3 separate regions of the Mus musculus genome follow, and all the other regions are reported to be linked to region 1. The links are microRNA targets in miRTarBase. Many come from high-throughput screens and were not tested one by one. Region 1 holds a microRNA gene; each other region holds the end of a gene's coding sequence.
The links. Region 1 holds the annotated microRNA mmu-miR-384-3p (AUUCCUAGAAAUUGUUCACAAU, at 5,179-5,200, shown strand). A microRNA usually pairs through its seed, bases 2 to 8, with sites in the 3' UTR of a target mRNA and lowers its output. Matches are read on the target gene's strand: a 7mer-m8 pairs with bases 2 to 8, a 7mer-A1 pairs with bases 2 to 7 and ends in A, and an 8mer does both.

Region 2: miRTarBase lists Nol3 as a target of mmu-miR-384-3p. Seed matches in the 3' UTR shown: 7mer-m8 at 2,614-2,620.
Region 3: the mRNA of Moap1 is a reported target of mmu-miR-384-3p. Seed matches in the 3' UTR shown: 7mer-A1 at 3,418-3,424.

What each region holds. Positions count from the first base shown.
Region 1 is chrX:105,341,660-105,349,491 of GRCm38, reverse strand. It overlaps Mir384 (microRNA 384), which reads left to right and starts at 5,123; the gene lies at 5,123-5,210.
Region 2 is chr8:105,278,698-105,286,529 of GRCm38, forward strand. Nol3 (nucleolar protein 3 (apoptosis repressor with CARD domain)) reads left to right here. Exons shown (of 4, transcript NM_030152.4): 2 at 277-573; 3 at 719-1,078; 4 at 1,198-3,242. The coding sequence starts at 279. The coding sequence ends at 1,205. It overlaps 4931428F04Rik (RIKEN cDNA 4931428F04 gene), which reads right to left. Exons shown (of 8, transcript NM_028888.2): 3 at 6,559-7,172; 4 at 6,333-6,476; 5 at 5,969-6,101; 6 at 4,478-4,783; 7 at 4,290-4,387; 8 at 1,712-3,447. The coding sequence starts at 7,116. The coding sequence ends at 3,283. Among named protein-coding and RNA genes, the nearest start is that of Nol3, 6.2 kb to the left of the region's middle.
Region 3 is chr12:102,735,619-102,743,450 of GRCm38, reverse strand. Moap1 (modulator of apoptosis 1) reads left to right here. Exons shown (of 2, transcript NM_001142937.2): 2 at 57-3,621. The coding sequence starts at 163. The coding sequence ends at 1,221. It overlaps Gm20604 (predicted gene 20604), which reads left to right. Exons shown (of 2, transcript NM_001142939.1): 2 at 57-3,621. The coding sequence ends at 79. Among named protein-coding and RNA genes, the nearest start is that of Moap1, 4.1 kb to the left of the region's middle.

The DNA.
Region 1 (7,832 bases):
GCATATCAAGGGGATGTGAGATCATGTCTAGTTTGACTTTGGCTCTTTAGTACTGTGCCCTATTGATAGTTGGGCCTGGGCCTCCAGGGGTCTCCAAAGCAAAGGATAGGGATGAGATACATGATGAAGGGGAAGAAAAGCTGCTTCCCAAATGGATGCTTGTTGTTTGGAGATGGGATGTTTGTTAAGGTCAAGATAAGATCCCCAGATTCAAGGCCTAGATCTGCCCTTGACTTCATGTATGACCTTGGGTAAGCCATTTCTAGGTTTTGAATCTCAGTTTCTTTACATCTTTAAAAAACGGGTTGGAGGCCAGATGTGGTGGTTCACACCCTTAATCGTAACACTCAGTAGGCAGAGGCAGGTATCAGTTGAGGCTAGTCTATATAGTGAGTTTCAGGCCAGTCCGGAATACATAGTGAGACCTTGTCTCAAAAAAAAAAAAAATCAAGAATGGTTTGAGGCTGGGACTGTAACCCAGTTGGTAGACTTCTTACCTAAATTGCACAAAGCTCTAGGTCCAAACCCCAGTGCTATATAAACAAGGCATGGTGGTAATATGCTTGTCTGTAATCCTAGATCTTAGGTGGTAATGGCAAGAGAATCAGAGGTTCAAGGTCATCATCAGCTACATTTTAAGTTTTGGGACATCCTGGGATATATAAGATACTGTCTTAAAAACAAAGAAAAAGTTCAGTTTATCTTTGAGGTACTCTCTCACACTGACCTTCAGTATTTTTGGACCCTCAAGTTGTCTAAGGAAGGAGCAAATGGCAAGACTATTATATTTAGACTGGAAGTTATAGAGTATGAAAAGACTAAAAGAAAAAAAAACATTTAAAGTACAAAACCACAAAGTATACAATGTTATTGGCATTTATCGGTATTTCCCACTATAAGTATTTTGTCCTATTGTTCCTGGGGAACAGTTGAAATGTCTTGGGAAACACAATTTTCATTGTTTCAGTTATATCTCCTAAATTGTTCATTCAACCAGCGAGGGCATCACCAAGTTTTTTGTTTTTTGGGTTTTTTTTGTTTTGTTTTTGTTTTGTTTTGTTTTTTAACAGGGACCAGTGTCAAATTTTTGTTTAAGGAAATATGGTCACCATAACTCTGTACCACTCGCCTTATCTTCTTTCAAGGTTGTTCTCATATGTGACAAGTTTTCTGTCTGTGTAATAAATGTTCAAGGAAATGGAAACTGATTAATATAATCTGTTGGGATCATTTATTATTCCCATCTGACATGTGTTTGGGAATATAAAAGAGTCATTCTTCTAGATAGGTATTACATGTATTGTGATTGCGATGGATGAAGAACCCAGTAGGTTCTTTTGCTATAACATTCTGGAGGTAGAGGGCAGAAGAAACTGGGCAGCAGGAGAAATTAGCAGTGGAAGCAGGAAGGCAGGAATTTCAAATATCCATTGTTTGGTGTAGCCTCTGCTGATAGTGAGTGGGGGACCAGCAGGTTTGGACTTAAGTAAAGGAACAGGCAAGCTGTGTCTGCCTGAACATTTGTGTCTAGCCCTGACCTCTCTCCCAGGCCAGAAAATAATTTTAAAATGTGTATTCTAATGCTGAGTCTGGCATTTGAAACATATTTTCTTCTCCTAAGATCTGTTCTTTTCCTGAATTCACTGTTCATGTTACTGGCATTACTATTTTCCTCTTATCACTATAAATGATAAAAATGGCATTTACATTTTTTCTCCATTGCCCTGATAAATCTAGTGGGTTGCTAACTCATGATACCAATCCTTCACCCATATTGCACTTCTGTACTTTTTATTAGGCCTCCATGACTTCTCATTGCAAACGCTGTGATTAACCCTTACCTGGTTTGTTTTCTCCAAACTTTATCTACCCTAGTCAATTAAAACACAGAATCCCATGTAACCACTAGCATTCTTTTCTCCCAGTTGCTAGGCTAAGTGTATGGAGAGATGATGTTAGTTTTCAGCAGTACATATGCATCTTACTTTAAAAGGAGGGAAGAAGGGGTTGTTTTTCAAGAATATTTGGAGGCAATTTCAGGAGCTCATACTGGCTTAAGGAAATACTGTACCTCTGAACTTGAATGTTCAAGCAGGTCTGACACCTGAGTTCTCCCATGCCCATGGCAGACTTGTATTCTTCATTTCTTTCTGTGAACACTTAGAACTGCTAAGTGCTTTCTTTTGTTTTTTACCCCAGAGCCTCATCTGATCTTTCTCACAGATGTTGGGGACTCAGGGATTCCCCGTAGGTTTGAGTGTCTTCTCCCTCATTACTGGCCTTGGACTCTTCCCATAGCTGTGTTTCCATCACTCACATGGACTTGGCCATGTGGCAGCTTTGCGGATGGGCTCTTCAGCCATCTTCCACAAACCCAGGCCAAGAGGTGACATTCAATCTATCCTCAGTGTGTACCTCCATCCTGCCAAAGTTGTAAAACTGTCTGGGATTATAGTCCCTACCAGTTATGTGCACGAGGAGGCATTGATCAATTCCCTCATGATCTCATGGCACAGCAGGTAGAGCTCATGTGGTTTGCAACAGGAAAGCCAGACTGTAGCAACTAGCCTAGTGCTTGCTTCAGGCTCAGAGCTCCTGAAACTCTCAAGTCATAAGGCTTGGGAAGTTCACTAGGTATTTTGGAACCCATCCCAAACACAATTAAATATGCAGGCAAAGGGGGAAAGAATACTTAGAATACAAATGGTCTAGCTTAATGAGGGTTATGGGGTGACCTGTCCAACTGGTGTTCCCATCCCAGTCACTACAGCTCTGCCATCTTCTCAGTGAGTCTGCTGGAGTCAGGCTTGTCTGTGTCTAGGGGCAGCTCTAGTGGGCTTGCCCAGTATCCCAGGCATGTGCAACACTTCCACCTAACTCAAACCACATGCAGAAGATCATGTCGTACTTGGCGCATAACCAATTGAGAAAGGCATCAGAGGGTGTCCAGACTTTAGCTTGTTTGAACAAATGTTCAAAAAAACATTTCTGAAGGGATATTCCAGAAAAACATACCCGCTCAAGGTCTTAAAACAGATGTTAGGGCTCTAGGAATGGGTTGCTTTGCAGCTACTATTATCAAATACAATAAGGCAGGACCAAATCACTTTAAGGTTTGAACGAGGGTGTATGTTTAACTTTCTTTTACATCTTTATTGTCCGCCATGGGAGGATGTGTCAGAGGGCAGAACATAATACCAAGAGGCAACATGCTATTGTGATTCACTCTCTGGCACAAAAGTAAGGCAGGCAAAGGCTTTGACCCCTGACTGGCTTTGTGTGTTAACCTATCATAGTCTCACTTTGTTAAACTACAAAACTAATAGCAACAGGGCTAACTCTATTGTTTTGTCAAGAGAACTAAAAACTGCATTTAAAGAGAGTGTATACCATGTATTGAGCACTCAGCAAGTATAGCACCACTATCAACTCTATCACCAGCAGAGCTTTAATGTTTATTATTACTACTACTTTTATACTATTAGCACTGCTGCCACTGCTGCCACTAAGACAGGAAACAGGATCTATTGCCAAGTTAGATGATGAGCTGGAGAGGGCCTCAGCTTTGTTTTTCTAGCTTATAGAGAAGGTAAGCATGCTGAGAAAGAAGATCACAGGATTATAATTCTGGATTGAAAGGAAAAGAATGAGAACAGTACAGAGTTCTTGTAGTTTATTTTCCTCATCTCAGACCAAAGCTCTACTATCCTTCATTAGTTTGCTGTATAACCTAGTTGAAATCACTTTAGATAATGGATCACTGGATCCTCTTGAAAGTAAAACCCCGTGGCACTTGTTTGCTGGCAAGTTGACCTGTATAAGAGGATAGTCTGTGACTGGAATGTGTATGAGCAACTGGTCCAAAACAGGCAAGGCAATAACTTCTAATTCTTATCAGCGAACCAGCTCACAATCCAGGTGTATGCTATAACCACCACCAGAATCATTTTTAGCTACTGACCAACAGTGATATCCTGGGCTCACTCCTAGAAGGGAAACTTTCTATATAACCATCAACTTTGTCGTGGTATCTATTTTATTATGTTGGAGATATGACCCCAGGAACTTGTATATGCTAGGCAAGTACTCTATTACAGAACAATATCCCAAGATATATCTGTAATAACTCTTTAGTGAACTTTATCCATCTATCCATACATCCATCATCACCTCCCCTACAACCATCCATTTACCATTCAACAGATATTGTTAAGCAATGACAACATCCAAAACATGGCTATAGGTGCTAGGAATAAGGCAGTGAACTGCTGTCATGAAGCTTACAGTCTAGCTGCCTCATCTGGACAAACACAGTGTATCATGAAAGTTCACTGGAAAAGTTTAGTCTAGATTTTTGAAACAAATGTTAGCCAGTACTTTTCAAAAACTGGACATGACTTTAGGGTGCTTGGGTGGAGAATGAAAGACTGTCTCGCATCCAGCCTAAGTAAAGGTTCTCGGGGTGGCCTGGGACAGGGCTTTAGGAACAATGTGGCTGGATTTTTGATTTCTTTGATGAACCTGGTTGAATCAAATTGTGTAGTTACTATGCTGTATAGCTAAGTTTTAAAATGTGATAAGAAAACAATGTGATTTTGTTACTGTCTCACTCATAAACTGGCTCGGAAGGCAGTTAGTTCTCAAAGCAGCATTTTAAAACTATTCTGAACAATGGCAACATCAGAACACATTTTCAGGGGGACTGCTTCAGACAGTTCAGTACATATCTTGAGTGTACAGATCCTAATCTATTTAAAAATAAAAATAGCTAGTAGGCAATTTGTTCAAAAATAGTGCAAAGAAAGAAATGTAGACTTACATATTTTAATTCATTTTTGAAATATTTATGCATTATATGTTTGGATTTGTGATTGCTGTAAAATTAATTCACTTTAAAAATAATGAAAGGAATTTTCCTTGGCATTTTTCTTCAGTCAGTTGATGCATTGTCTTCTGCATGTGACTCTTCAACGTGAACAGCCCAGCTACTTAGCCATTGTCTAAGTTTTATGTAAAAGTCAATCTTCCCATTACATGGCAGGCCTGCAGAAATGCTGCCTTCTGCTTTGAAGCCAGTGTATGATCAAATTTAAGTTAACTGGTTATTTCTCTTGCAGCGGAATGTTAAATCAGGAATTGTAAACAATTCCTAGGCAATGTGTATAATGTTGGTAAGTCATTCCTAGAAATTGTTCACAATGCCTGTAACATATATTCAGCTAGCAAGATTCCTGAAATACATAGGAAGCCTTCAAGAAGCTAACTGTACATTCCTAGAACATCTCTGGATCATGACATTTGTTTTTGTAATCAATTCTACTTATTTATTTGTTAATGTGTCTAGGTGTTAATAATTCTGATAATAGCACTACTACTTGATTTCCATAGTTCCCAAGGGTATCTGCATTATTTGATAGTACTTTGGTGATGCAGGGTTTTAGACATGCTAATTTTAAGAGGCATTAGAAATAAAAAAATCAATAATTAGGAGCAAAGGCAATTGTACTTCTTAGGTGAGCCAAAGCCCTAAACTTTCTTACTCCTTTACAAAAGCTTTAACTAAAGCTTCATTGCCTTTCTCCAACCTCACTTCCAAACAAATTTTGATATTCTAATTCCATAAGTCATGGGAAAGAAACAATAATATCTATCAACCTTACTGTCATGATTTTTTACCTTACCCTGTTCACTTATATGTTAATATGTTGATGTTTGCATAGTCATTATTTAATATGTATACTTGATTACTATTTATAGTTATCTATTTTCATTTACTATTTTGAAATGATCTGCCTACTGGTTTATATCAGCATAGCTGTGGGTTGTATCTTTTCTTAAATCAATTTAGAAATGAAAACAAAATGTTGAATGAGTTTTGAATGAGTTTTGGCCTTGAGTGTTATGATCATATCAAGCCACTGGTTGGGTTTCTTTGCATGTAGACAGTTAAGTGGATTCCCTTGACTTCTATTTGACTAGTGGAAATGGACCATCCTGGCAGCCCACTCAGATGAAGCCAAGAAATGAGCTGGCTATGCGGGCTTTGGATCAAGAAATATCAAAAGTATGGACAAAGTCTTTTGACAATTGATTTCAGCATCTGTACTGGTATACATTGGCTGATATAGTAATATACAGCTGAGCAATATTTTAAATGGTCCTCAGTTTGGTTAGATGATGACACTCAACCCCAGTCTCATCCCTACTGTATTCAGACATGACCCATTTCCCAAGGCCCAACGCATTTCTGTCTGTCAAAGTCCATCTAGTTGTTTTGGTCCTCTCTGGTGTATCTTCTTTTAATGCTTCTATTCACTTAAGTCCATTTTGCCTTTCAAACTGAATTGCAATGATCTATGTACTGTGTAATTTTCAAGAATGCCTTACACTTATGGTGACCATATTTTCTAACCAAAAATTAGAATATATCTTCTGAAAATTTAGGTAGGCTATTTGAAATTAGCTGTCCTTGGGAAAACATATGCTTATTCACTTCAGTGTCTCCTACCCATTGAACAGTCAGCATTGGGTATGACAATAGGAAGATAAAGACTGTAGATAACATTCACTAAGTTGCAAGTAAAAGGAATGGATGTTTTTGGAGTGTCTTGTATAGGCAGGCATAGCTTAAGTGCTTTGTTACTGTGCCTTAGGAATAACATATTGGTCCAGAAAATAAAAATAATAGAAGAAATGAAGAGGGACAACAAAAATACCCATAGTGGGAGACATAGTGGAAGGATTGTATCATACAATGCAGCAGGTAAGGGAAGTCTAAAAAGAGGAGGCCTTGTCAGAAAGACAAATACAGAAGTTCTTTGCTATATTTCTTAAAGGTATGATTAGACAGATTTTTCAACATCTCTGTGTACTGCTGATCTTTTTACCTTTACTCCTCAGATTCTGCCAATGCTTGGATTACAGGAGATGCTCCACCCCCACAAGTACAAGTGTGGGTTTAACAGCTTCGAGTAGAATATAAACACTGGCTCACTACTGAACATTATGTTATTGTTCAGGCAACCCAACTTTACATTTTGAAGGTTTTGTGTTTCATCTTGAACTCAGAATGAAAGACCTGGACCTTCATCTTCACAGTCCTTGATGTTTCATAGGGAATCTCTCCAGTCATGCTGCTATACTCTTTGAACCATACATGAGGTTTGATATGTAGAACAAGCATTTTGGAATTAAGCAAAAATATTTGAGGCAGAAATTTAGCTTCCAAAGACAAAGCTGTTTCTTGGGCTGTCTGACATGCAAAAAAGTGATGGAACATTCTTTTATATCTTTAGGCATTTTTTTTCTACTTGCCACACCTCTGTCCCTAATTTGAACCTTCAAATATACCTTGCTTATGTCATATTGACAGGGACTGCAATCTTCTGCCTGCAGTTTCCCTATACCTCTTTGCCATGAGCTGTAGATTTCTTTCCTTCTGAGCCTGTTCAAAACCATGGAACAATATACTGTCATTCCTTTTCTCCCTGAAAATGAAAAGGTAGCACTGCCAGATGATGCCAAAAAGATGGGAATGTTAACTTTGGGATGTGGGTAGATTACTTACAGGATCAGTAAGGATAAGCATGTTAAAGTAAATACTCCAAGGCTTTTTACCAGAGGCTCATCCCTTCTGATGTGTCATTAGAAGGATGAGTCACGAGAAATTACTGTAGCATGATTGAGTATTACTGAATTCCTAATCAAAGTCCAGCTGGGAAGACCAGCTGAAGGGAACTGGCCCATGCTAGCATCCAAGAAAGCTGTGGATTTGGCAGGGTGAAGAACTTCTTGGCTATGGAGGAATGAATCAGGGTTAACAAAATGTTATG
Region 2 (7,832 bases), not on the chromosome of region 1:
TGGTAGCCAACTGTGCAGGTGTCTGGGGCTTAGGAGGGAGGGAGGTCCTAGCTGGGAAGAGCACTCCACTGACAGGTGGAGTCTGCAAAAGAAACCTGAGGAATCAGGACAGAAGCAGCCAAGAAGCTGGAGGGTGCGTTCTGGGCCCCTGGCCTCTAGGTCTTGCGCTGAGCAACCATCCAGACTCTGATGTTGAGGTGAACTTAGATAACTCCTGGTCAGCGTAGAGTAACGCAAATTACGCCCCGCCCCCTTCTCTCCTTCTTGACACAGCAGAAATGGGCAACGTGCAGGAGCGCCCATCAGAGACCATTGACCGGGAACGGAAACGGCTGGTAGAGACATTGCAGGCTGACTCTGGGCTGCTGCTGGATGCGCTGGTGGCCCGGGGCGTCCTCACTGGGCCCGAGTACGAAGCCTTGGATGCGCTGCCCGATGCAGAGCGCAGGGTGCGCCGCCTACTGCTGTTGGTGCAGAGCAAGGGCGAGGCAGCCTGCCAGGAGCTACTGCGCTGTGCCCAGCAAACAGTGCGCATGCCAGACCCGGCCTGGGATTGGCAGCACGTGGGGCCCGGTGAGCACCAAGAGGGTGGAGCCTTGATGAATCGAAGGGCGTGGATTAGGGGCAGGGCGAAGCAAAGGGTAAATGGAGGGCAGAGAATTTGGAGGTAACCACAGAGGGGTGAACTGAACCTCAAGTACTCCCTCTTCCTTCCCAGGCTACCGGAACCGCAGCTATGACCCTTCATGCCCAGGCCACTGGACGCCAGAAGCACCCAGTTCAGGGACCACATGTCCTGAGCTGCCAAGAGCGTCAGAGCAAGAGGAGGTCGGAGGTCCTGAGGGCTCTGAGGCACTGCAGCCTCGAACTCCAGAGGAGCCAGAACTAGAAGCTGAAGCTACTGAAGGGGATGAGCCAGACCTGGAACAAGAAATGAATCCAGAACAAGAGCCGGAGCCGGAGCCCGAGCCAGAACCCGAACCCGAGCCCGAGCCGGAACCCGAGCCCGAGCCAGAACCCGAGCCCGAGCCGGAACCCGAACCCGAGCCCGACTTCCAAGAAGAGGATGAATCTGAAGGTTGTGAGAGCGCCTAAACCCTTGCTTGCAGGCTTGTTACGGGTTGTGGACTGCAAAGTGTGTGTGTGTGGGGGGGGGGGGTTGATCCCTATTCCACTAACCATCATTTTCATCTCCAGATTCCTGAAGGCCAGAATCCTTAGCTGTCCAATCCTATTTGTGCTGGATAAGACCTGGAAACCTGCCAGAGCTTGACCCCATCGATGCACCGAGACACCTACTGCCAAATGAATAAACTCAGGAGGGTCAGTCTGTTCCTGACTCTCCACAAGTCTGGCTCTTTGCTCAAGAACTGAGGGTGAGCGTGGGTCTGAATCCCACTGACCTGAGCAGGCTTGTGTGAAAATACCCCCATCCCCTCAAAAACATTCCACTTCCCAAAGAGCCCAAGCTGTAATTCTGGAGATCTCAGATGCAGGCCCCCAAATCTGACCCTCCCTCACCCACTTTATTCCCCTCAGGGGCCATTTGGGAGGCCGAGTGGGCAACACTTCTAATCCATGGAAATCACTCGGCTTGGTGTACCAAGCAAGTGAAGGGGGATGTCCATCCACACATGGAGAGAAGTCTTGGCGCTCACAGTCTTGCAGGGAGGACCTGAGAGGAAACTTGAGTAGACAGAAGCCACACACATCATTGTAACTGCTGTTTAATTGTCTGGCTTTCCTCTGAACTGGGAGCTCAGTGAGGGGCGTGGGGTCTAACCAGTCACAGACATACACAAGGAGCTCTGCACATATCTACTAAGTAAATGAATACAAACTTCCCAGCTGTGTTTCCAAGCTTCACAGATGGAAACATTAACTGAAAAGCCAGGGTTAGGACAGTACTAGCTCACTCTCCCACCGCTGAATCTGAAGTGAAATGAAAGCCTTAACCAGCTCTGTACTAATCCTGGCCTGAACGTGGGATAACAAACCCTAGGGCCTGCCCTGTAGGTTTGATTGTGGTTGCTCCCGCCTGTCCTAACCACTGCCAGAGACCAGCTGTGAGGCTGTGGTTAAAGACAGGCACAACCAAGACTAACATGGGGACTGAGGGTGGGACCAGGTGCTGGACTCACAAGACACAAGACACAGTGTGTCTGTGTGAGTGATAAGAAAGGGGGTCTAGGGGGCTGGAGAGATGGCTCAGTGGTTAAGAGCACTGACTGCTTTCCCAGAGGTCCTGAGTTCTACTCCCAGCAACCACATGGCGGCTCACAACCATCTGTAATGGAATCTGATGCCCTCTTCTAGTGTGTCTGAAGACAGCTACAGTGTACTCGTATACATAAAATAAATAAGTCTTTGAAAGAAAAGAAGGAAGGAAGGAAGGAAGGAAGGAAGGAAGGAAGGAAGAGAGAGAGAGAGAGGGAGAGGGAGGGAGGGAGGAAGGAAGGAAGGAAGGAAGGAAGGAAGGAAGGAAGGAAGAGGGAGAGAGGGAGGAAGGAAGGAAGGAAGAGGGAGAGAGGGAGAGGGAAGGAAGGAAGGAAGGAAGGAAGGAAGGAAGGAAGGAAGGAAAGAAGGAAGGAAGGAAGGAAGGAAGGAAGGGGTCTAGGAACATACGGTACTTTTCCAAAGGATCCTGCCCCTACATGGAACTACTACTACTACTACTACTACTACTACTACTACTACTACTACTACTTCCGGGCCCCGCCTGGAGGCATGAAATGACCCCATGAGGGCGACTATGGAACAATGCATGACCAGTGAGACAGACAGAATGCTGAAAGGCAAAGCCCAGCCCAGCTGGGTCTCTGAGCCTGAGTGACAGCCGGAACCCCATGCTCAGGCAAATCACCTCAGAGGGGTTCCCAACTCCTGCTGGCCCCAGTGAGAGGTAGAGGTATGAGTGTAGAAGGAGCACCAATCGGCCAGGTAGGGGGAAGGGAAGGAGTGGTACCAGACACCCAAAGCCATCTCATGCAGGAACAAGTTTCTATTCCCAAACCAACCCACATTTCTATTCACACTCAGCTCCCATCTCATCGCCCTCCCATCTCCCCTGCTCAGGAGTTTATGTGACATGCTGCTGCAGTTCACAGGCCCCAGGAAGGGTAGCAAGGACAAAAACCTTCTAACGTTGCTTCTCATCTGCCCACGATGCTCCTGGCCTCCCAAATGCCCCCAAGAAACACCTAGGCTATGGAACCATAAAGAACTTCATATTCCGATCTGTGACCTCTGTCAAGAGCGTCTGTCTATAACCCTTAGTCAACATCAGTCAGGCAGCAGGCGGCCCAGCTCCGCTTCATCCAGCCGGTTGGTGGTCATGATGTGTTCCAGCTGCTGCCGGTAACGTTCCAAGTCCTTCATGAAGTGGGGCACTCTGGTATTGTCTAGCACCCCGTAGGGCCGCAGTTGTTCCACGTCTTCATAGGAGACCTATAGGAAGCAAACTGAGCCTCAGAGCTAATCAAAGTGCCTGGCTTTCAAGTCCAGGATCTACCCATGGCTCAGGGCCATTTGCTCCTGAGATGATTGTGTATATTCTTCATCGACTCCTACAATAGATACCTTCAGGCTCTGCCCTGGATCTTCTATCTTTCTCTCTCTATCTTTTATCTACGTTGTACAACCCATTCCTCTCCAGCCCACCTTATCTCCTCACCTCTAAATGGTATCCAACTGATACCTGGGTCTCTCTCTCGGGTTATCTCCCACATCCAACAGGAGACTGTTGAATGTCAGCTGTCTGTCCTCCCCTCTGCATAGTCACCACAATCAGGTCCAAGAAAGGCCGACTAGGTTCTCATTTCCCCATTCAGGGAGTCCAACAGTTCTTTTATCTGTAGTTTATAGCTTTGCCATTATCAATTCTGTAAGAGTGATGGAAGACCTCCTTCTCTTGCCTATCTAGGTCTTCCATTTCCTGCACTTCCCACAGAACATTCAGTTGGAGCCTTTTAAAGAAAATCCATGCCCACACATTTACGATACTCCCCCCCCCCCTTTGCTTCTATCGAGGTTTGCCTCAACCTGGTACAAGACCTGGGCTTTGGTCCCTGGCCATTTCTCCCACCTTCTTCCCCAGAACTTCTTGACCTCTCCCTGCCTTGGAGTGCTCACCTCCCTTAACACCTATGTACACATCTGCAGGCTAGGTCACACACCTGATCTGTGCTACCAAAACTTTGTCTCATTTTGTCTGCCTTCCCAAGTGTCGAGGCCTTCACCAAACATAACTCTAAAGAAGAAAGAGCTGGCTGGGCCTTTCGGCCCTTTACCTTGCCCAGCGAGGTCAGCAGCTGGAAATCAATGGTGTGCCGGTGCCGTAGGATGCGCAAAATGCCATCCAGGTACACCTGGTCCTTGCTGAAGCAGCCTGTGAGAAGGATAACCAATCGAGCCTTACCCAAAAGCCACCCTTCACCTTGCGCCAGCTTGAGCATTCTTGCGACTCCACAGTTCCCACCTGGCTGGGAGGTATCCGTCTGTCCTCGCTTGGCACGGACGCAGTACTCCCAGCGTACACCCTCGTCCTGCACGTACTGCGCCAGATCCTGGAAGAGCTGGCGGAAGGACATGTGCGCCGCCTGGTGGATGGTGTAGTAGAGCAGGGCGGCGCGCCACAGGAATGGTTGCTTTCGAAACAGCACACTATGCAGGCTAGCCAGGCCCTCCTCAGTAGGGTTGGCTGGCTGAAGGCCGTACTGCAATCTGCCTTCAGTGCTGTGCCACGGTTGCCGCGAATTATTCACACCACGCAGGTAGTGGGTGCCTGCAGGGAGGAGGAGGAGGAGGGGGCGGAGAACTCACTCCAAGGACCTCTAGTAGAGACTCTTAGATCCTCGTGCCCCGCCCCAAAATTCACACCCTACAAGTCATCCCAAGCCCTACCTAAATCCATTCGCAGCCTACTCCAGACAACTTCTTGGTTCAGGGCAAGCTCTTCTCTACTTACGTTCTCATCTCCTTCGTCCCAGTTCATTCTGTGTGCCCCAGCCCTCACAGATACTAAGCACCTGCCCGCTTCCCAACATCCTAATGCCCGAGCCAATCATCTTGACAGTCATTCAAATGCTCCAATCAAAAACCACTTTTTGCCCAGAGCAACAAGATTCCTGTCTGGGGAGGACAGAGTAACTAGTGTCTTGTGCTTGCCTTCCTAGCCTGGTCTGTCTTCTTTTATCTATGCATCTGCAAGCAATACCATTTCTAGGCTCTAGTCTGCCACCCACCCAGGTGGAACTGGTGGGCTGGTCTAGTGGAAGCCCACAGGATTCTTTTTTTGGCCCCTTAGAACTCCTTCACTGTCAAAGGAAAATCAGAAAAGAATTGGGAGATAGGGGCTGGAGAGATGGCTCAGCGGTTTAGAGCACTGACTGCTCTTCCAGAGGTCCTGAGTCCAATTCCCAGCAAGCACATGGTGGCTCACAATCATCTGTAATGGGATCCGATGCACTTGTCTAGTGTGTCTGAAGACAGCTACAGTGTACTCACATATATAAAATAAGTAAATCTTAAGAAAAAGGAGAGGGAGAGGGGGAGGGGGGAGGGGGGAGAGGGGAGGGAGAGGAGGGGGAGGAGGGGGAGGAGGGGGAGGGGGAGGAGGGGGAGGGGGAGGAAGAAGAAGAAGAAGAGGAAGAGGAAGAGGAAGAGGAAGAAGAAGAAGAAGAAGAAGAAGAAGAAGAAGAAGAAGAAGAAGAAGAAGAAGAAGAAGAAGAAGAAGAAGAATTGGAGATAGTCTCAAAAAAAGAAGATGAAGGTCAGCCTACAGAGTGGGCAGGCATGTTTGCTAATGCAAAGGAAGAGGTGTCTGCTTAGGGATGAATAAGCCTGTCTTCTTCCAGAGGGAAGGAAGGGGGAGAAAGAAGGGGACTACTGAGACCCCCCACTACCCTACCCCCATCTCTCCATACCTTTCAATCCTACCCACCCACCCAAAGGCCACCCACAGCCTGACCTATCTCGTGCCGCAGCATGCCCTCCAACCAGTACTGGCGGGCTCCAGTCAAGTTGATGGCCAGTGTGGGTCGGCTGTTCTCCACCATCATCACAGCCTGGGACAGTAGATCTTCACTCAGCTGTACCACAATCTACAGGGTGACAGGGATCCCTGAGTCACGGTTTCCAAGCCCTGACACCCAGTGCTACAGGCCGGGCGCTGGCTAGGGTACCCACCCTTCAAAGCTGGCTTTTACTTCTCTGGGACTGGGGCAGGGACATGTCTGGGGAATTAGAGCTGGCCAGACGTGTAGGGGTCTATGAGCTAGGTGACCTGATTTGGGGCACACAGAGGATGGGTCTTGTAGATAGGGCAAACTTACCTCCCCAACACAGCCTTCCTTCTGCATGTATTTGCGCACGGTGGACCAAATTTGGCACTTGGTCAGCAGCTGGCCCCCTGTGGCAGCCTCAAAGTTTTCATAAGTGCCAAACTTCTCCAGGACAGCCTCAATGATGCCAACTGCCTGTACACAGGGCCACAGTCACTAGTCAGGCTAGGTCCCTTGGGTAGTCAGGGCCAGGGTGAAATGGGCAGGGGGAGCTGACCTGATTCATGAATTGCGCAGAGGCCTCCTGGTACTTCTCCAGCACACTCATTGGCATCGGTTCCTGATACTCGAACTGTGGATTGTAGGTATAATGAGACTGGAAGAACTTTTCCCGTTCCTGGTCCATGTTAGTTGGCCGCAGGGCCACCAACATACAGGGGCTCTTGCTGCTACTACTGCCTACATCCTTTCGAATCTTAGCAATGTGAGGTAAGGAGGCTGCAGGCCGTAGGGTCCCTCCTGGATCGCATCCCCGTCCAATCGGGGCTTTACCACGCCCCCGCCGGCCAGTACTATTTACACTGTAGGTGCTCTCGCTGCGACGCATGTGGCTACTCTGCTCCAAGTGCAGCTTTGAGAAGGTCTGCCACATAGTCTGCTGCTGCAGTGCTGAAGGGACTGCCAGAGCCAAGGGCATCCCCAGGGACTCAGGCCAGGGGTACAGGGGTGGCCCATTTCCGTTTGAGGGCTTCAGCTTATGGTGCTGAGATGGGGAACCGGCAGGGGGCCTGGGGGGTGCCTGCTCATACACCTGTGTCCCCGAGTCCAGCACCATTCTCTCCTGAGGGTCACATCCAGCTCTGTCGTGCCAACTTCCCAGACTGTTGACCTCTAGGGACACAGAACGGCATGCAGAAACCAGCATGAGGGGATGTGGTCAGAGGAGGAAGCCCCCTGTCCCATGTTATCCGTGTTGAGTCCAGAGTCTGCTGCCAGGAACTCAAGAAACTCTCCACCCTCCAGAAGTATGCATTCCTTCTACCAGGCTTATCCAATAGTCTGAGGTGGAGCAAAGCAAGGCAACGAATTGTAGACATTTTCCTATTTATTAGAATTCTCTCTGACGGTCAGATCTAGAGCTAAAACTAAGGTCTTAAACATGGTTCTAATTTCAGTGTTTAGCACTTACCCAATCTGGAAGTTGGCAGAATACAGACCGCCTCAGATCCCTAGATGGACCACAGGTGAGAGAAGCCCACAATCTGCTTTGTACCGATGGCATCTTCCCAGTCCCACCTCCCCGCTTCACCTAGCTCATTACAGCCTCCCGCCCTTTGGTAATCAGTTTGAATGAATGCACTTGCTCAGGCCAGTCCCCACATGAAATACTCTTCTCTTTCCCATTGATCAGGATGGAATTAGAATCTGCTTTTGGGAAGCAGAGGAAACCCAGCGCATTCAAACCAGCCCCTGGCCTGTCACCTAGCTGAGATATCTTTCCCAGTGGGCATCCAAGGCCACTGTCAGAGAACTCACCCCTGACTGCGTGTC
Region 3 (7,832 bases), not on the chromosome of region 1:
GGAACTGCTCGGGAGTCAGACACGGTTAACTTAACGTGGATGCTCTGTTTTCTCAGGCTCCCGGACCTCTGCGTGTTAAAGAGACGAGCACGCACATCACTGTAAGCGGCGGCGGCGGCGGCGGCGCCCTGGTCGAATTAGAATTTAAATACTCTGAGCACCATGACACTGAGACTTCTAGAAGACTGGTGCAGAGGGATGGATATGAATCCTCGGAAAGCACTATTGGTTGCCGGCATCCCTCCGACCTGCGGAGTGGCAGACATAGAGGAGGCCCTGCAGGCTGGCCTTGCTCCCTTAGGGGAACACAGACTGCTTGGGAGGATGTTCAGGAGGGATGAGAACAAGAATGTAGCCCTGATTGGGCTTACAGTAGAGACTGGCAGTGCCCTGGTCCCCAAGGAAATACCTGCAAAAGGAGGTGTCTGGAGAGTGATCTTTAAGCCTCCTGATACTGATAGTGACTTTTTGTGCAGATTAAATGAGTTTTTAAAGGGGGAGGGCATGACGATGGGTGAATTAACCAGAGTTCTTGGGAATCGGAATGACCCTCTCGGCCTAGACCCGGGCATAATGATCCCTGAAATTCGAGCACCCATGTTAGCACAGGCATTAAATGAGGCCCTTAAGCCTACCCTGCAGTATCTGAGGTACAAAAAGCTGAGTGTGTTCTCAGGCAGGGATCCTCCAGGACCAGGTGAGGAAGAATTTGAATCTTGGATGTTTCATACTTCCCAAGTAATGAAAACATGGCAGGTGTCAGATGTAGAGAAAAGAAGGCGGTTGATAGAGAGCCTTAGAGGTCCAGCATTTGAAATTATTCGAGTCCTCAAGATAAACAACCCCTTCATTACAGTTGCAGAATGCCTGAAGACGCTTGAGACAATATTTGGGATTATTGATAATCCTAGAGCATTGCAGGTCAAATACCTTACTACTTATCAGAAGACTGATGAAAAGCTGTCTGCCTATGTTCTAAGGTTGGAGCCTTTATTGCAGAAACTGGTTCAGAAAGGAGCAATTGAGAAAGAAGTTGTGAATCAGGCCCGTCTAGACCAAGTCATTGCTGGGGCAGTCCACAAATCAGTTCGAAGAGAGCTTGGGCTGCCGGAGGGTAGCCCAGCCCCAGGCTTACTGCAGTTGCTGACACTGATAAAAGATAAGGAGGCCGAAGAAGAAGAGGTCCTCCTTCAGGCCGAATTAGAAGGCTATTGCACTTGACCCAAGACCCAAGGCTGTCATGAGCAGAACAAGATGGAAGAGCTCATTGCAGAGATCAGCCCATCCACTCTTTATGCTGCCAAAGTAACTCGCCCTTTGTCGTGTTGTTTACTGAATGTCTCCCCAATGTTTTACTGATAAAAATGATGTCATTCTACACTGATAATTATTTAAATCAAAAGACCATTCTGCTAGTACAGTGTCCCAGCAAGTCAAAAGTTTATATGCATGTTTAATAGTCATATGTGATGGTGCTATCAGTTATCAATAGTTTTCAGGTGTTGCCCACATTTATGCTGAAGACCCTGAGCCAAGGCTGGTTAAGATATTTAGTTTCTTTTATTAAAATCAGTTATCGATTCTGTGCAATCAAAAAGCACAACTGAATGCTGTGGTCAGTTCTACAACTAGTTTTAGGTTTGTGACTATCTGATATGTTGCCAAAACGTCTGCTTCTAAATATCATTTTCTTGGAGTAATAAAGAAATGATAATAAAATATTTGATCTTTGTATACATTGTAATACTACATTTGAAGGAAAATAATTTTTTGGCTTTGTTTTTAAGACAGTTTCTCTGTGCAGCTTTAGCTGTGCTGGAACCCACTCTATAGACCCAGGGTAGTCTCAAACTCAGAAATGTGCCTCCTGAGTGCTGGAATTAAAGGCCTGCACAACTACACTAGGCTGAACAAAAGTTTTTATAGTGTGAATCTGAAAGCCACTGAAATTACAGACTTAGTTCTTTGAACTCTTGGCACCTAGGGGATAGGAACTTGCTTGTTTGACAGGAACCAGACTATAAACAGATTGTGGCGAGTAGTAGGCCCATCAATATTGAATTTTGAGGGAGAAAGGGAAGATGAAGGTTTGTGTTTTTCCAACCCTGGTGCTACACACCTATAACCCCAGTGCTTAACAAGTAAAGCCAAAGTCAGGAAGACTGGCCTCTCAAGGCCAGCCAGAACTACAGAGGGAGGCCCTACCTCCAAAGAGAAAACTACATACAGGGAAACTAAGATCACCTGGGAAATGGATGTATGCCCAAGACGAAGCAGGCAGTAATGAGAGCTGTTCTGGTTCTTGCAAAGCTGCTGTTCTCTCTACTAAGGGAGGGAACTACACAAAGAATCAAGGCCAGACTGTCACCGTGTGTACATGTAGTCTTGGGAGTGTGATAGATTACTCTGAGTTAGGAATACATGGAAAGTTTCCTTATGTTCTCCACTGCAGAATGGCATGTGGACTCTTGAGAGCTGTGATTCTGCTCATGTTTGTATAGTGGCTTAAGATACATTATGCACTGTCCTGCAGGTCACTCATTTGCTGCCTCGGTGAGAAACTTTACATTTTGTATAGACACACAAGCATTAATAAATGCCACGCCTCTTCTGTATGTGAGACCCTAAGCTGAGGGGGTAAACTCGACAGGATAATCCCTGCTTTGAAGGTTTATTCAGACTCAGTATTAATGGCTGACATTGGATGTATCCTTGGCCAGCGACTAAGTACTAGCTGAAGAAGAAGCTGTCTCTTCCCACCTCCCATTTTATGAATAAGATGAGGCACAGAAAAATAACTTGTCTGTGGTTTTACAGGTAGTAATGTGGCTAGCCCCTGGCTCCAGGTCTTTTTATTCTGGGTAGATCATAGGCTCAGAGATCTTTAGGTGCTGGTCTTTGACGCATATATATATATATATATCCCATAACATTTGGCAGTGGTGGCAACAGACAGGTGGAGAAGAGTGCCACCTAGTGTTATAGCTCTAGGGGCCTAGGATGCTAGACCCTTAATTAAGCATTATAGATCTTGTGGAAGCCTCTAGTAACCCCACCCTTTGCTCTAAAATACTAAGTTATTGGGTAGACCTCATTACAAGTATTATAGCTGTTGTATAGACTTGGGAAGTTATTATTCCTTCGCCTTGCCAGTGTTAAATCGTACAGGTCTCGGGGTGTCTGAGACTTGTAAAAATCACAGAAGCTCTCTGAAACCTCCAGTGACAAGGGCCTGCTGGTTTTCATTTCCAGCTCTTTACAGCCTTCTCTCCTTTATCTCTGCCTCTTCGGTTGTCACAACAGCCAGCCACACAGCCATTTTCCAGCTCTGCCTGCCACTCCACTGTCTGCTGTTGCTGCCACTCTCCTGGCTTTATATTGCCATCTTAGCCTCACAACTAAGAAGTAAGCTAGAAATAGGAAAGGAGGGCTGGAGAGGTGGCTCCTCGGGTAAGAGCACCGACTGCTCTTCCAGAGGTCCTGAGTTCAAATCCCAGCAACCACATGGTGGCTCACAACCATCTGTAATGGGATCTGATGCTGCCTTCTGGTGTGACTGAAAACAGTTACAGTGTACTCATAAATAAAATAAATCTTTTTAAAAAATGGCAAGGAAACACTACTGGAGAGAATCTTTTATTGGGGAGGCAGCACAAGAGGTTATCTCCTGGGGCTGGTGAGATGGCTCAGGGGTTAAGAGTGTGACTGCTCTTCCAAAGGTCCTGAGTTCAAATCCCAGCAACCATATGGTGGCTCACAACCATCCTTAACGAAATTGGATGCCTCTTCTGGAGTGTCTGAAGACAGCTACAGTGTACTTACATATAGTAAATACAATAAATAAATAAATTTAAAAAAAAAAAGAGGTTATCTCCTAGCTGACAAAGTGAGCTCAACAGCCTATGAAGGCTAAGGAAGGGTGTTTGTGCCACTTTGAGAAAAACTTATATGTAAATGAAGAATTGTGTTTGCACCAATCACAGCCTTGTCTGAACACTAGCATCGCAGTCACTGCTAAGCTATCAGACAAACTCTCCTTCCTTGAAAATGGTTGCAAGGTCATCTAGGATTCACTGACGTTGTGCTAGCAAACATCTAGTAGAAGCTGACTTAGGCCTGGCAGAGGCTGTGCCTTGGGGAGCTGCAGTTGTGTCGTTTCAAGGTGTTCACACAGTGTTCCAAACAGTGATGTCATACAGATAGCTGGCTGGCTTTTGACAGCCCGCTTGCTCAAAGCAGCCAACAGTGGGTAAGTCCAGCAGCTGGTGATTGAGAAGTCAAATTGCCCCGTCAGCAGGAGTGCTTACAGTTTTGAAAGAAGAACAACTTATTAGCAGTGATTTTAGCCAAGCTCTAATAATGTTTAATTCCTGATGAGTGTTCCCACGGTCTCCTTTATCAAAGTGACAGGCCAGGATTTACATCGAGCCTGTCCATTGCCAGTCCTTGATCGTCATAAAGATTGATTTGTTTTTAATATTAGGTGGGTATGTGTGCGCATCATATTCATGCAGTGCCTGTGGAAGCCAGAACAGAGAGTGGTGGATTCCCCTGAGGCAGGAGTCAGACCGGTGTGAGTCATCATATGAATGCTAGAAACCGAACCCAGAACCTGTGCAAGAACAGTAAATGCCCTTCACTGTTGAGCCATCATTTCCTTGGCCCCCAGAGTCCCTTGTTCTTAAGCTGTTCTAGGTTAGCTTGTTAACTTCTCACAGGAGCCTGTCAAAAAAAATACAAAAACAAAAAAACAGTGTCCATTCTACAGACAGGAAGCTTAAGGTTCAAGAAGATTCAGTGCCACCGGGCAGTGGTGGCGCATGCCTTTAATCCCAGCACTCGGGAGGCAGAGGCAGGCGGATTTCTGAGTTCGAGGCCAGCCTGGTCTACAGAGTGAGTTCCAAGACAGCCAGGGCTACACAGAGAAACCCTGTCTCAAAAAACCAAAAAATAAAAAAAAAATTAAAAATCAATTCTAGATAATATAAATGTTTGCTTCCATGCACAAAAGCCATAAGAAAATCATGTAACTCTGGAACTGGAGTTACACAAGATTATTTGCAGCCATGAACGTGCTCAGAAGGGTCCTCTACCTGCTGCAGCAAATCCTCTTACCTGCTGAGCCACCTCTCCAGCCCACAGTCAGCTTTTCTTATGGTCTTCTGCATGCATCTGGTGAATACTATGTAATTGAGGAAACTAAAAGGATTTTTTTATTGGTTTATAAATTGAAAATAATAAAAGCACATATGCGCCCTTTAAACAGCCATGTTGAAACAATGGCACTAAAATGTCACATTGACATACTAGGACTTGAAGGGGAATTTCTTTTTGTTTAAGAAAGAAACTCTCGGGGGCTGGTGAGATGGCTGCTCTTCCGAAGGTCCAGAGTTCAAATCCCAGCAACCACATGGTGGCTCACAACCATCTGTAACAAGATCTGACTCCCTCTTCTGGTGTGTCTGAAGACAGCTACAGTGTACTTACATATAATAATAAATAAATCTTTAAAAAAAAAAGAAAGAAAGAAACTCTCAAAGAAATGAAAAGAAGGTGGTATTTCCATAGCCAGGGGACTTCCGGGAAGAGCTTCCTCACAGCCACAGAGTAAGCACCATAGTGTTAGTTCTAACCCAAAGTAAATTCCTGGGAGTTGATGTCGATGTAAATAACGATTGAATAAATATGGGAGAAAAGATGAATCTTTACAGAAGAATGTCAGATAATTCATGTGGCTGCTTTACCCTCTAGGAACTGTGTAAGTTACTTTCTGCTCCTGTGTTGAAAGAAAGAGGGCTTTTTTGTTTGTTTGTTTTTTGTTTAGGGCTCTGTTTTCTTGTTTGTTTTGTTTTGTTTTGTTTTGAAGACAGGGTTTCTCTGAGTAGCCCTGGCTGTCCTGGAACTTGCTCTTTCTGTACACCAGGCTAGCCTCGAATTTACAGAGATTTGCCTGCCTCTACCTCTCAAGAGCTGGGATCAAAGATGTATACTACCACTGCCCAGTTTTTGGTTTGGTTTTGTTTTGTTTCCTTTTTTTTTTTTTTTTTTTTTTTTGGTTTTTTTTCCAGACAGGGTTTCTCTGTGTAGCTCTGGCTGTCCTGGAACTCACTTTGTACACCAGGCTGGCCTCAAACTGAACTCAGAAATCCACCTGCCCCTGCCTCCAGAGTGCTGGGATCAAAGGCGTGCGCCACCACGCCCGGCTTGTTTGTTTCTTATATTGTTTTTTTGTTGTTGATTTTGTTTTGTTTTGGCTTACCGTTCCAGGGGCAAAGTCCATGATGGCAGGAAGGCTATGACATCAGGCTGCCAGATCAGGAAGCTGGCTGGTCACAGTTTATCATTCAGGAAGCCTGGAAAGCTAACTGGAAGGGGGGTAAGGCTATAAACTCTCAAAATAGGTCCCAGTGAGCAAAGTTCCCCAGTATTCCTCCAGAGAGTGCCACCATCTGCGGAACAAGTGCGCATGCGGAGCCCTTGGGAGATGTCTGCCATTTAAGCCACCCCGGAAGCAGCATTTGTCATGCTGCTTCCTTTTCCCTTTGCAGGTAGGCTCACCTTGGTGACATCTTTCTAAGGATGAGCTTGTGGAAAGGGACAGGAATAACTTTCCTTGGAAAGACCTGGCAGATGCCACATTAGCATCAATGGTGTCACTGTGAAGCCGTCTGGACCCCAGGTGCAATGGGATAAAGCCAGGCTAATTAGGAGAAATACACCATAGAAGCCCAATTGAAAACATTTTCTTCAAGGACTGAAAAACTCAGGCTGAAGAGATGGCTCAGTAGTTAAGAGCACTGACTGTTCTTCCAGAGGTCCTGAGTTCAATTCCCAGCAACCACATGGTGGCTCACAACCATCTGCAATGGGATCTGATGCCCTCTTCTGGTGTGTCTATACATAAAATAAATCATTTTTTTTTTTAAGTAATAAAGCAGAACCCACAGAAGAAGGCCGCTTTTCTAGCTTGCTTTCCATGACTGGCTTAGCTTGCATTTTTATACAACCCAGAGGGCCACCTGTTCAGGGGTGACACCACAATGGGCTGGGTCTTCATTAATTATCAGTCATAAAACTGCCCCTACAGACTGGCCTATAGGCCAAACTCAAGGGGGCATCTTCTCTCTGGAGGTTCCCTCTTCCCAGATGACTCCAGCTGTGTCAAGTTCACAAAAGCCTAACCAGCATTCTGTATAGCACTAACTAGCACTGTGCCATGTTTTTTCTTCAGATGGCACAAATGCACAGCCCTAAAGTAATGGTAGGGTGTAAGGTACCCTGGAGTCAAATAGTATGTAAACACAAAAAGTGTTTTATGCTGCAGAAGTCCAGCATGCTGGGGTCTCCCATTACCAAGATAAACACCCGATTGAGCTTGAAGGCATATTATGGGAATTCTGGAATAGGTGATCTTATCTTGTTCTATCTCTTAGAGACATTCCAAAACCATTATGGGGCATGGGAGCCGGAAACTGTTGCCGACCCATTGTCCTTGCTTCAGGCCAGGTGACAGACGGCAGTTTCTGACTAGCTGCCTCAAGCCTGGGTTTTCAGGCCTAATCTCTTGAACTGCCAGTTTGAAGCCTGTCATAGAGTCAGCCTGTCTCATCAAGGGAAGGGAAGTGAGTATGCAGGAACTCTGCACTGGCTCTGTGACTTCTCTGTAAAGTTTAAAACATAAGTAAAATTGTTCACACCCATTAAGTCCTTACATGCACATAACAAGCACAGATGCCACCAATCACTGGAGAGGGAATCATAGGAGTGCCCACCTTTCCAAAGCTATGCATTTAATCACCACTAAAATGATACAGAGCACTGGCTAGATCCAG